Xenopus tropicalis: one gene and its partner. Each later gene encodes a partner of the first gene's protein in a complex. Links are inferred from orthologs where the notes say so. Each region holds a gene or a part of one and is shown on either strand. Other genes may lie near its edges.

What was found.
Region 2: dhx9 (region 1) and ybx1 share a complex: the UniProt entries of both Homo sapiens proteins name them as parts of the coding region determinant (CRD)-mediated complex. The link is inferred for Xenopus tropicalis from reciprocal best matches to the Homo sapiens genes DHX9 and YBX1.

The regions. Positions count from the first base shown.
Region 1 is NC_030680.2:100,156,334-100,162,136, forward strand, and holds part of dhx9 (ATP-dependent RNA helicase A), read right to left. Parts: intron 5,637-5,803; exon of another isoform or gene 5,579-5,636; intron 4,647-5,578; coding exon 4,600-4,646; intron 4,520-4,599; coding exon 4,383-4,519; intron 4,160-4,382; coding exon 4,070-4,159; intron 3,987-4,069; coding exon 3,825-3,986; intron 3,731-3,824; coding exon 3,656-3,730; intron 3,465-3,655; coding exon 3,273-3,464; intron 3,182-3,272; coding exon 3,040-3,181; intron 2,961-3,039; coding exon 2,878-2,960; intron 896-2,877; coding exon 739-895; intron 52-738; coding exon 1-51. UniProt on the Homo sapiens protein: Multifunctional ATP-dependent nucleic acid helicase that unwinds DNA and RNA in a 3' to 5' direction and that plays important roles in many processes, such as DNA replication, transcriptional activation, post-transcriptional RNA regulation, mRNA translation and RNA-mediated gene silencing.
Region 2 is NC_030683.2:94,732,482-94,738,835, forward strand, and holds the start of ybx1 (nuclease-sensitive element-binding protein 1), read right to left. Parts: upstream 4,323-6,354; 5' UTR 4,168-4,322; coding exon 4,068-4,167; intron 2,815-4,067; coding exon 2,751-2,814; intron 1,933-2,750; coding exon 1,899-1,932; intron 1,582-1,898; coding exon 1,492-1,581; intron 1,095-1,491; coding exon 786-1,094; intron 369-785; coding exon 280-368; intron 150-279; coding exon 1-149. UniProt on the Homo sapiens protein: DNA- and RNA-binding protein involved in various processes, such as translational repression, RNA stabilization, mRNA splicing, DNA repair and transcription regulation.

The sequences.
Region 1 (5,803 bases):
TTGGAGGTGGTATGAACTGAGTCATCTGTATGCAGTCTTCTAGGAAGTATTCTGCAAACAAAAGATTAACCTCAGAGTACTAAATGCATTTAACATGTGTTTTTTATCCACTTACTTATAAATCTCTGCTTTGTGAATTGGGTCTCATTTATAGAGTTCTCTTACATCCAGGTTTTAACGTATCAAATGATGTTACACAGAAATTCACAATGCTTTACCAAATGCAGATGCATCCTTTTGAAACCCTTGCCCTTTGCCGTCAGGTATAGCATTTACAGAATTTTAAAGTGATTCTGATACATACTATTCTTAACAAAAGAAGAAATATACATACATATATAAAATATTTCTAATCCCTAGTCCTCCTGTACCTGCTTATATCAGATTTTAACAAACTTACTTACTCCTGCAGATACTGTGCTGAACTTGGGAGTAGTGCAAAACCCCAGTATGAAGAATATGAAGATTTTCATACATCCAGGTCATGGTACATCTAAGTAAATCTAAAGCAACTGAACTTGCTAAGTAATCATTTCAATGATTACTTACCCAGTATGGTGGAGGCAAAAAAAAACAAAACCTCAGCATTTGTTGCAGGGTGGGGGTAATAGACAAAAAACCCACACATATAAGCAGTGTTTAAAACATGATACCATATCTTGTAAACATGAAACCATATTTTGTTTTTTGTGGACAACATGTGGAAGATAAAGAAATAAAGAATGTAATCTAGATTACCTTGTACAGGAAATGTTCGGCCAAAAACCTCAATGATTGGGCAGTTAAAGAAATATTCACAGAACATGCTAGTGTCAATAGTAGCAGACATGAGTATAACACGGATATCTGGGAAAGCCTGAATCACATCACGAAGTACCACCAGAAGAAAATCAGTCTAAAAGATAAAACACAAACTGTGCATTTAATATGTACTTTTGCTGCCAAACAAATTATAATTATATAGCCTACAAAGTAGGTTATGAAAGCCCACATGCAAAACTTAAAGGGATTCAGTCATGATTTTTAAGGTGTACTTTTTATTTCTATATTACACTGTTTACATAGCAATTCACTCTACCATTTAAATTTGTATTCTTGAACAAACAAATGTATTTTTTTAATTGTAATATCGGCGTGTAGGCAGCTTTTAGAAGGAGCTAGTGCTACACATTAGAACTGCTTTCAGGTAACCTATTGTTTTTCCTACATCCATGTAACTGGAGGAGTCCTAAGCTGGACTTGGAATTTTTACTATTAAGTGGTATTCTGATATCTACCACTTTTAGCAATACAGGTGTCAGGGAGCTGCAATCTTGCTACCTTCCCATTGTCACTGCCATGGCTGCCTTCCTTGCAATTCCTTCTCTGATACCAGGCATGTGTGCATGCATAGTAAAGGTTAACTTATACATTTTGATTTTACTCTACCACACATGCATTCAGCTGAATGTAGCCAAAAGAGATTGTGCTCCCTCCCTAATATCCCAGGCAAGCGCATTTTATGGCAAAGTAGACCACCAGAAGGTAAGTGACTAGAACCACTGGGATGGGTGCATAACAACTAGATACCCTGCAACAAATCTACCTATCATTGGAGCTGATCTAAAAAAAAAAAAAAGATAAAGAACTTTTGACATAAAGCTATATTAGCCTGTAAACACCTTTATTGTGAAGTTCACAGCAGGTTTTTAGTTTTTTGCAGGCTAATACCATGTTTTGTCTATCTGTGACCAAGTAATTCAAGTACCATTTCAAATGCTTGAGGTGTACATTAAAAAAAGTCTATCCATGCTAGACATAGACTGCGCTAAAAGTAATGATACAAGGTGAAACCATGCCTGTTGCTGCGCAGAGGTGGGGTGGGGCAGCATCAGTGTTTGCGTCACGGGCAGAGAAAGTGCACAGTGTGCCATTAACCTGACAGCCAAATAATCAGTTTTTTTTTTATAAAGGTGCTTTTGGGGAAGGTTTAATGTAACATAAAGCTTTAAGGACTTGTCAACCCGAAAAAAAAAAAATTGCCTAATAAAAGAAAACTTAATTCTAAGCAACTTTGCAATATATATTTATTACATATCTGTAATGGTTTTTTTTTTAGTTATTTGTATAGATAACTGTTACTAAAGTGTCAGGGGAAACATAACTGCTATTAATTCCATTCTGTGCCTTGGGTGCTCTGGCGACTGAAACAATGTAACAAACGCAAGCAGATTTTACAGACCTGCCTTGCTGGAGGAGCCTGGCACTTGTAATAATGTTTCAAAAGTAACAACCAGGAGTTCAGCAAATGCTGCTTTCTATAGCAATTATATTTACAAATAACTTTTAAAGCACTAATATTTTTTAATTAATTGATATTGGAAAGTTTCTTAGAATTATGTTTTCTCTTATTAGGCAAAAAATTATTTTTGGGGTTCACATGTCCTTTAGACTTGTAGTAATAAAACATATACAAAAGTATATAAATATTGATGTGAATTCTTTACACTATATTCCTTATGCAGTAGCATCAGTACGGAGTAAGGCCTCTATAAATACTCTACTATAAGAGTTAACTTCTGCCAATAGATATTAAAGGGACAGCTGGCCTTAAAACTGAAAATCTTTTACAATAAATGTAGACAGAACATTTCTTAAAAAACCTGCAGCAAACAAAGTAGCATATTTCTTGGATATTTTTTTTTCTAATACACTATACTAATATTTCTTAGGATATTGTTGAACAGTGGTAGAGATAAATAATTAACATAGGCATGAGATGGCTACTCAGCCTGAGGGTCCTAAGTGGGAAGGGGAAAATTTAGTCTTTAACTAAAATGTTATAGTTAGATCAACATAGCCAAGCAACCTTTCAATTATTTTTAATGAGTAACTTACATTAATGTCACGCTCATGAATTTCATCCACAATCACATGGCTAATTCCTCTTATCCCAGCCTCCAGTTTCCTCAAAAGGACTCCTGAAAATATTAATAATATTGTCAAGAGAAAAATAAATTAACTGTACAAGGAAAACCATCATTATTAAGCAATACGTACCCACAGTGCAGAAAAGCATACTGGCATGCGGACGGGGAAGAACAGATTCAAAACGCACACTGTAGCCACAGCTTTTTCCAATCTCTTCCCCTCTTTCAAAAGCAACACGTTCTGCAACAGATACTGCACTGATCCTTCTAGGCTATAGAAAAGGAAAAAAGACCTCACTACCCACTGCATCATTTATGTTATTTTATGTTTAAGTAACATAGAATTGATTTCCAGAACTATACCTGTGTAACCACAATATTACACTGCGCTGCACGATCATTGCGAATACATTCATCCAGAATGTATTGTGGGACCTGTGTAGTTTTACCACAGCCTGTTGCTCCACGGATGATTACAACAGGGCTGTTATGCACAGCATGCATTATTTCCTCCTCAAATTTCTTAACAGGAAGAGACTCTCGATCAATCAAGACCTAAAAAGTGAAAGGCAAGAACTCACTGAAAGAATACATATTAAAACACCATTGAATACATTATAGATTACAAATGTTTTTACAGTTCAGTCTTGAGCACTGTAAACATTCAGAAAAAATAGTGGTGCTAGGCTTAGCAAAAGCCACAATTATAAAAACTTTTGCATAGTCTAGAAACTGAATCAACCAACCTGTTTCATGTTAGGATCTTGCATGTGATACATGTGTTCATTCTTTAATTCTGCACTGATCTGCTCCTGGGGAGCCTTTAAAGAAAGTAGATGCCAATGTAACTTTAAAAATTTAACCCAAAAGAAGGCAAATTCAACCATTTTATTTTTCTGAAACTACAAAACTTACAAATGCCAGAGGTCCTTCATCAATGTTGCTGCTTGTCCATGGGTTCCAGTTTTCCTGTGGGGGAGACCATGGCACCACACCAGAGTGACTCTGCTTCTGTGAAGGCTCAAAGTGTACCAGTTTTCCCAAATTAAGGGACACAGGTTGGCTAGGATCCTGGGGCTATTATGGAAAAACACAGCAATTATATTAAAACAAGCAAAAAAGGGAAAGGGGAAAAAAAACGCACACTACAAAACACTTACTGGATATGGTAACTCAATTCCTAGCTCCTGAATAGTACTCTGCAGCTGTTTCACCACATCAGGATTTAAGTTCACTTGATAAGGTTCCACCTGCCAGACAGAAACATTAGTATCATCTTAGTAATAACAGCATTTTTAGAAGCAGCAGCATCTGTTTGTTTCAGAATGTTTTTGGGGTATTCCTAATGAAATTAAGTTAATTATATGAATCACAATTAAGATTACCCACAAACTTTGCATTTGAGACAATTATAATCCAAAGATAACAAAAAACAATATTTACAATGCAGATGGTTATCTACAAGGAACTTACAGCCTCCCCTTCCTTTTTCTTTGTCAGTCCTGAGTATGGTTCAATTACACTTAGATGATACAGCTGACGGACAATTGAAAGGGCACAAGATTGTGCCGCCAATTTCTTATTAGATCCATGTTCTCTTGCCGTGATTCCTGAATATTAAACAAAAGGTTTAGAGAGTACAAAGGTAGATGCCTTCTATACATATGGCATATTTAGTTGGGGAACTTACTTCTTCCAAGCTGCTTAACATACAGGGTCATTTCTGCAATAAAGCTCCTGCCAAAACATTTATTAGAGTGTTAGGAAAGCATGTACAGACCTAAACGTAACACATTTATTCACCTTGTTAGGGAGTCACCGAAAAAGCACAGATAAAGAAGAGTTCCAGCCTAAAACATCATATATTCCATCTCTGGCACACAATGCTGTTTCTTGCTGGCAAAGAAAATGCCAATACACTATTTCCACTGTGTGGCTAGTGATATGAATAGCATCAGCCTGTCACTGTGCAAATGGGAGCTGATTTTTGCAGAAAATGTTCATGTACACAATGACAGGCTGATGCCATTCATATACTGCACACAAAAGAACTGGTTGCTTCTGGCCTCTATCTGTGTTTCCACTGCTGGCGGTGAACATGCATGATACTGAATTATGTTTACAGATGGTAAATTACATTTGTCAGCATGTCCAAACAAAGATTTCCAACTGTGACAATCCTGTTCTAGATAGTTATCTTATTGTAATCCAGAGTACAAGGTCCAAATATTAAAGCTGGAGGAATGGTTTATTAAATTCATATATTACCCAGTAAAGGCAAATATGTCAGGTTATGATAGTTTAAGGGCTGGTTTTAGGATAGAATAATGAGGACCCGGACCCCTAATTTTTGAAGAGACCACTGACCAAATTGTGTATTAAACTGGTAGTATATAAAGGGGGTAAACCAGTATGCTGTCGTTACAGTACTTCAAAACATCCTATTGATTTTCAAAGATTATCAGGAGTGCTGGGGTTTGCTCAAAAACAGCAAAATGGTGACAGGTTGGAACTGTAAATTATTCCTCTCAAGTTGAGGCACAATATTTCCGCTACAACAAAAATCCCTTCTCCCTTAATTCCAGCCCTCCAAAAGATAAGATCTTAGCATCATGTTATTCAAGATTGCATTACTTTATAAAACTAGAATAAGCTCAGAAGACACTGACCTGCAGAACACGCCCTAGCAGCCTGTGAATGTGTTTCTCAGCCGGCCTTTTTGGTCACCTGGAGAGAGTGACACCAGGATTCAGTAGTCAGTAACAGACTTCACATGGGATAGCTTAGTACAGCCTAAACTCCACCCCATGTGTTAAGAAGAGATTCCTGGTGTCACAGCCTCTACTCTTTAATTCTAATTTCAGCAAATTGTAACAATTTCCAAAGACACAAAT
Region 2 (6,354 bases), on another chromosome or scaffold:
GTTTAGGGTTTTCTGGGCGTCTGCGTCTGTAGTTAAAGTTACGGCGATACCGACGTTGAGGTGCCTGCTGACTCTGGGTTTCATCCCCCTGATTTTCTTTGTCCTCTTCATTTCCTTCTTCTCTGGGTTGTCTCTGCCGTGGTGGTCCCCTGGAATCACAAAAAAGCAAAAAGACATGGTACATATAGTGTCTAAGGTTTTGACTGCAGCTTCAGTTAAGTATTTAAAAAAAAAAAAAAAAAGCCCCTAATAAGACCTCCTAATAAAGCTTTGAAATACCTGCGAAATCGTGGTCTGAAGCCTCTGTACATATTCTGTCGCACAGGTCTACCTTGATCACCTTGTGAAGAACCTTGACCATCTGATCCCTGGAAAAGGGGGTTATAATAAAACAAGTTCAAAAGCTAATCAAAATGTCTTGTCTAATTGTGAATGCTCCTAGTGGCAAACTGGTTTAGTCCTGTCTACTTCAAAAGTACAAACACACGGATTAAATTCACTGTGGCATGAAAACCACCTGGAAACCCAAAAAGAAAGATAGAAACACAGGACAGTCCTATTAAAGCAGCAACAAAACTGCAAGAACAAACTTCTATAAAATGCTACAACAATATGGGAAAAATATTTCTGCGTAGTATTCCAGTTGCAGAAAAAAAAAAAAAAAGGAAAATAACATCATTTAATGCTACCTGCTGCATCACCATTTAAAGTGAACTTTCCAAGGTAAAAATTTTATTACACTATTTCTAACCTTAGCTAGTAATTAAGTATACACAGATAAATACCTCTGCACCTTCTCCCTGAATAGGAGCATTTGAGTATTGTGGTCTGCGCCCATATGGTCTCCGCAAGTAGTATGGTGGAACACGTCTCCTGCGGTATGGACGTTGCTGATTTGAACCCCCCTCTCCTTCAGGTGCACTCTCATTCCCTTCTGTCTTCTCTCCACTTTCATTATTTTGGTAATTTTGCTGGTAGTTACGTGGAGGACCTCTGCGACGCTGATAGCGCCTGAAATGATTACGGTCTGCTGCATATTTGCTGCCTTGGACTGGAACACCCCCTGGACCAGTTACATTAGCTGCCTCTGCACCCTATACAAAAATAAACGCATTAATAATATGGTTTCAGAGGACATGTACAAAGTTACATAACCCCCCCCCCCCTGCCTCCTTTTATAATTTAATGGGTGGCCTATTTTCTGGGTTTATTTGTTTTTTTAAGCCATGAAAAACCTAAGTTATACAGTAGGCAGTTTCCAAACTCTAGATGGGGCTGTATGCAACTAACGTAACAGACTAAAAACAGACATAGGGATGTAGAAATGGTAACCAAAATGACCAAGTTTCAATGATTTAATATGATCAAGTGGCAGTATAAAATATTATGCTATTTCTGGTATAGGTTATATAGTTCAGAAATGTTGAAGACTAAAAATATACACTTGTAGCTTGTGTAAAACGTATCCTCGTACCCTTTTGATAGTCTTACCTTTTCACCCTCCACTACATCAAACTCAACAGTTTCACCATCTCCCACACTGCGAAGGTACTTCCTAGGGTTATTCTTCTTGATGGCAGTCTAAAAAAAATATATTTTTTTTTTTAAATAAAAAGACATTAAAAGAAATCTGAACAAATGCTGAAAACTGATTAAATCTGCTTTTGCTCTATCTAGTTCCATGGCAATATAAAAAGGTGTAGGAAAATGTCCTATCCAACTGTGGAACAGTCATGACTTTCTATTCAGTATGCATTCTTTTATTACACCAAGGCAATCCGCTTTGATCAACACTATACTCAAATACAAGTTACCATATTAGAAGTTATAGAATACATTTTCTATACTAGATTGGACTAGACATCTGTAAAAAAAACCCAGATAAGTGGAATACTTACTTGGTGTACAAACACATCTTCCTTGGTGTCATTCCTATAAGGATAAAAACAAAATGTTAACGACAAAAGGTAGAAATTTTCACAGCACAACAAAGCTAAACAAAACAAAAATAGATTAAAGGCTTGTACTGTGCAAATTAATTTATATGTATAGGTCAAACACTAAAGGCAACATAAGCACAAAAATAGGAATAATGCTGGAAAGGCATTTTTTCTACCAACCACAAAGCATTGCCTTTAGACAAAGAATGGGCAAATGAAAATATATTTCAACCAGCATCCTTTTTTTCTCCATAAAGCCCACATCATATAGCTCATTTCTGACATTTTAGGAAAGAAGCCATCTTATATAATTGTTTTTAACAAACCGATTTATTTGGTTTATGTGAAAAAAGTACATTTCCTTTCAAAAAGCAGAAAAATCTTAAGATACAGTCGAAAGGATAAGGGAAAGCTGAATTAAAGCATGCCAGCCCTGGCTACTGGGTGCAATTACTGTTTTTGTTGTGTATCTGAATTTCTACAACAGCGACAGGCAAAGATCATTTTCTTGGCACAGGCATTCATAGAAGTACAGCGCTGAAACCGGTAGGCAGTGCTACTTAGGAAGCAAGCAATACAGCAGCTCCCCATCTCTATAAAAACATTTTTAAACTATGCCTTCCCCAAGTGTTAAGTAATTTAAGTAACTTCTGGTATTGCTTAACCGCATATCCTGGAATATATACTTGCTAAACCATATTAAAACAAGCATTTATGGGAAGTACCACGTGCATGGCCCCGAAGGGTCAGGCAGGCTGTAACAAGTTTACCAAATTACTAATCTAAGTTGGGGCAGAAATATGAACTCACCTGTTAATGAAGCCGTAACCATTGCGCACATTAAACCATTTGACCGTACCCAAAACCTTGGTTGCTGAAAGAAAATAAAAAATCGTTAGTTTGGAGTGAGGCACAAGATCAATCTAATATGCACAATAGAGCAATCACTTTCTGGCAGCACAGTAGCACCATAAACACAGGGGGTGGGTGGTGGTTTGGAAAGCTAACTTTTACAAAAAAAAATAATTAGAAATTATAAATACTAGTTACATGCAACTTATTGATCAGCAGCCAGTGAGATACAAGCCAAAGCAATACATAAACACTGCTAGTTTAATGGCTATCTGGACATACAACTTCAATGGCTACTGGGCCAGGCACAGCTATACAGTAATTACATTGAGTAGGATGGATGGGGGTGGATGGGGGAAGAGGAACAAAAACAAAGCCCTATCCCATGGCCCTGGTAGCAACATTTCCTGAGGGAAAGTAATGCAACTGGTTGTGTGCATTCCCACTCACTGCTATATAAACACACGGAATTACAATTAAAGGCATCAGCAAACAAACATTGCTATTTGGGGCCATAAGAGTGTTGTCAATTCTTTTTTTCAAATGAAAAACTACAACTCCCAGAATCCCCGTTTATTGCCAAGCGCTATAAAGGCTGCTACTAAGCAAGCCGAGTGCAAAGATAGACTAAAATGGCTCTCATGCCCCTCCCGCTCAGGCCCAGGCGGTACGAGCAGCTCCGTGCCACAACTACTCACACACCACGTGGCTGGAGCCGGGCCAGAGCCGCAACCCGAGCAGCCGGGACACACGGAGCCGCCAATTCCCAGCGCCATCACGGCCCTCACACTCCCCCGTATGTTTGCAAAGCAAACGTGAGGCCAGAGGCGCTACTGGGGACCCAGCAAAGGCGCGGCGGCATACAAAAGAGGAGGTGGGGGGGGTGTAGGCCGCAGGCGGCGGCGGACATGTTACAGGCCCTATTCCTCTCAGGACACAGGAAGGGATGATGTCACGGCGCTGCGGGGGGGGGGGTGATGTCACGGCGCCGGGGGGGGCAGAGATCCGTCACCAACAACTCCGCGTGGCACGACACTCCACGTCGGTGTAACCGCCACTCACCCGCGCCCTATAGTAAAAGCGAAAACCGCTCCCTCACACTATAAATAAACAGATAACCGCGCCTGTTTGTGCAAATATCTAGTAATCGCCTTAACCAACGTGACTGCACAGGGGATGCTGGGAGTAGTAGTCATATTGAGCCTGACGCGCCAAATACCCAGCCCTGCCTGTGTCCGAGAGGCATCTCTCGTATGCTAATTCAATCGTACTTACCGATGACCTTCTTCTCCCCCACGGTGGCCGCCGGTTCCTGGCCGGCCTTGCCCTCCAATGCGACTGTCTGCTGCTGTTGTGTTTCAACCTCGCTGCTCATTGTGTCTTTGATGGTGTAAGTTGGCTGCTTTCGGAGGTGGTGACTCGGGCCGGCGGTTGGCTCGCTTTAACTTCCCCCCGGGGTGTTGATGGTAACTCAGGCCGGCGGTGGGGCTGCTGCCTTTCGAGCTCCCTGCTGTCCGCTCTCCGCTCCCGCTACCGATCGAACTGCCTGGCAATGGCCTTACAGACGGGTTAATCATCGCAGACATCCCGCCCTGGCTATTATCCTATTGGTCAATTGGCTTGTCAGTCTACGGGTTTAGTAAAAAACTCTGCAGTTGTATGGTCGAATGGCTTGTCAATCAAGAATCGACGCGCTCTGTTTGGATGTGTTCCTTCTGTAATCTTATTGGCTAAGGCAGATGTCAATAACAGGATTGGAGGGATTAGTCTCTGCCTCTAGCGTCTGCATTATTGGATGGGATGTAGCTGTTGAGCTCTAAGGCTGATATAAACAGTGATCAATAAAGTGTAAGGTGTGGGGGGTAGGATAAATGCAATAAACTATTGGGCAGGTACCTCAATATTTGACTTGTGTTTAGTTCAGCTGTTTCCCGGCACATCAGCCCTTATGAGCTGAAGGTAATGATACCAGATCACTCATATAAGGGGTTGTGCTTAGGCAACGGACTCTGTCTATTGTTATGGCGCTGAGTCCAAATCCAAGGTTTTATGGAAGTATGGCGTATTGCTTATTTCCTAATCCTCGGATTGTCTAACGGGCAGGCCCCCCCGACCTCATGTCTTGATTTCTGTTTGTTTCTTCGCAATGGTGTAATTTCTGCCTTATTGCTTATATTTTCCCAAATACATTACACAGCAGAGTATATTAGTGTTTTATAAATGGGCTTTAATAATAGCGGGAATAGTCACATCAGCAGTACACTTGCACAGCCTAACTTGCAGTATGCTCCATAGCTGCAATAACAGCATGCACATCGCAAATACTAATATAAATGTGATAGTTTAAGACACATTAAAATCTATCTCATATAATTTTAATAAAACTCCACAAAAGCAAATGAGAATTAAATAATATGAATTAGTCTTTCTGACTGGTTAGGTCAGATCAATAATGATGTATGAGCTGACAATTCATGGTTCAACACTGACTGATTACTGGTCTATTAAAGGAACAGTAACACCAAAAAATGAAAGTGTTTTAAAGTAATTGAAATATAATGTACTGTGGCCCTGCGCTGGTAAAACTGGGGTGTTTGCTTCAGAAACACTACTATAGTTTATATAAATAAGCTTCTGTGTAGCCATGGGGGCAGCCATTCAAGCTGGAGAAAAGGCACAGGCACATAGCCGATAACAGATAAGACACCATTGTATTCTACAGGATTTATCTGTTAGCTGCTATATAACCTGTGCCTTTTCTTCTTTTGAATGGCTGCCCCCATGGCTACACACCAGGGTTTATATAAACTCTAGTAATGTTTCTGAAGCAAACACACAACTTTTACCAGTGCAGGGCAGCAGTACATTATAGTTTAATTTCTTTGAAATATATACATTTTTTGGTGTTACTGTTCCTTTAATGGGCCGAGACAACCTCCGCAGCAAGGCACCAACTGCATCAGGCCATGGTCACAGTCCTCTCCTGCCAGGTCTTTATGTGTTATATGGACAAAACAAAATATTACTGTTATGTATTAAAATGCTGTCTTTTTTCTGCATTATGTTGACTATGTTTATTATAGGTTGTGTGTTGTTTGTGTTGAAGAGACATTTTGGGGGCCCCTTTATGGTCTGCCATGCTCCAGTGGGCCATGGGTTGGGCTTCTGCAGCAGACACAAGATGGCCTCCTATGATGTCAGAGGGTGGGCCAGATCAGGGTGTAAAGCAACACATGGGGGTACTCTGGGTGCACCTGTACAGCTAGTAAACTGAGAGAGAGGGAGGGAGAGACTGGGGACGGAGGGAGGGGAAGGCACCCTTAATGCCATGGTAAAATTATTATTATATTCCACAGCATGGTATAATAGATGGGTGTATACATTGATCACAAACAGATATACAACAGATACCTGATACAAGAGGTAAATAGAGAACTGCTCAATAGAGCTTACAAGTAACACGAGGTAATGGAAAAAGAGAGAAGGTAAAACAACAGGATCTGCTTAAAGAAGTTTCAAGACCAACAGTGGAAATGTGCAGTAAAAGAAAGAGGAAAATAAG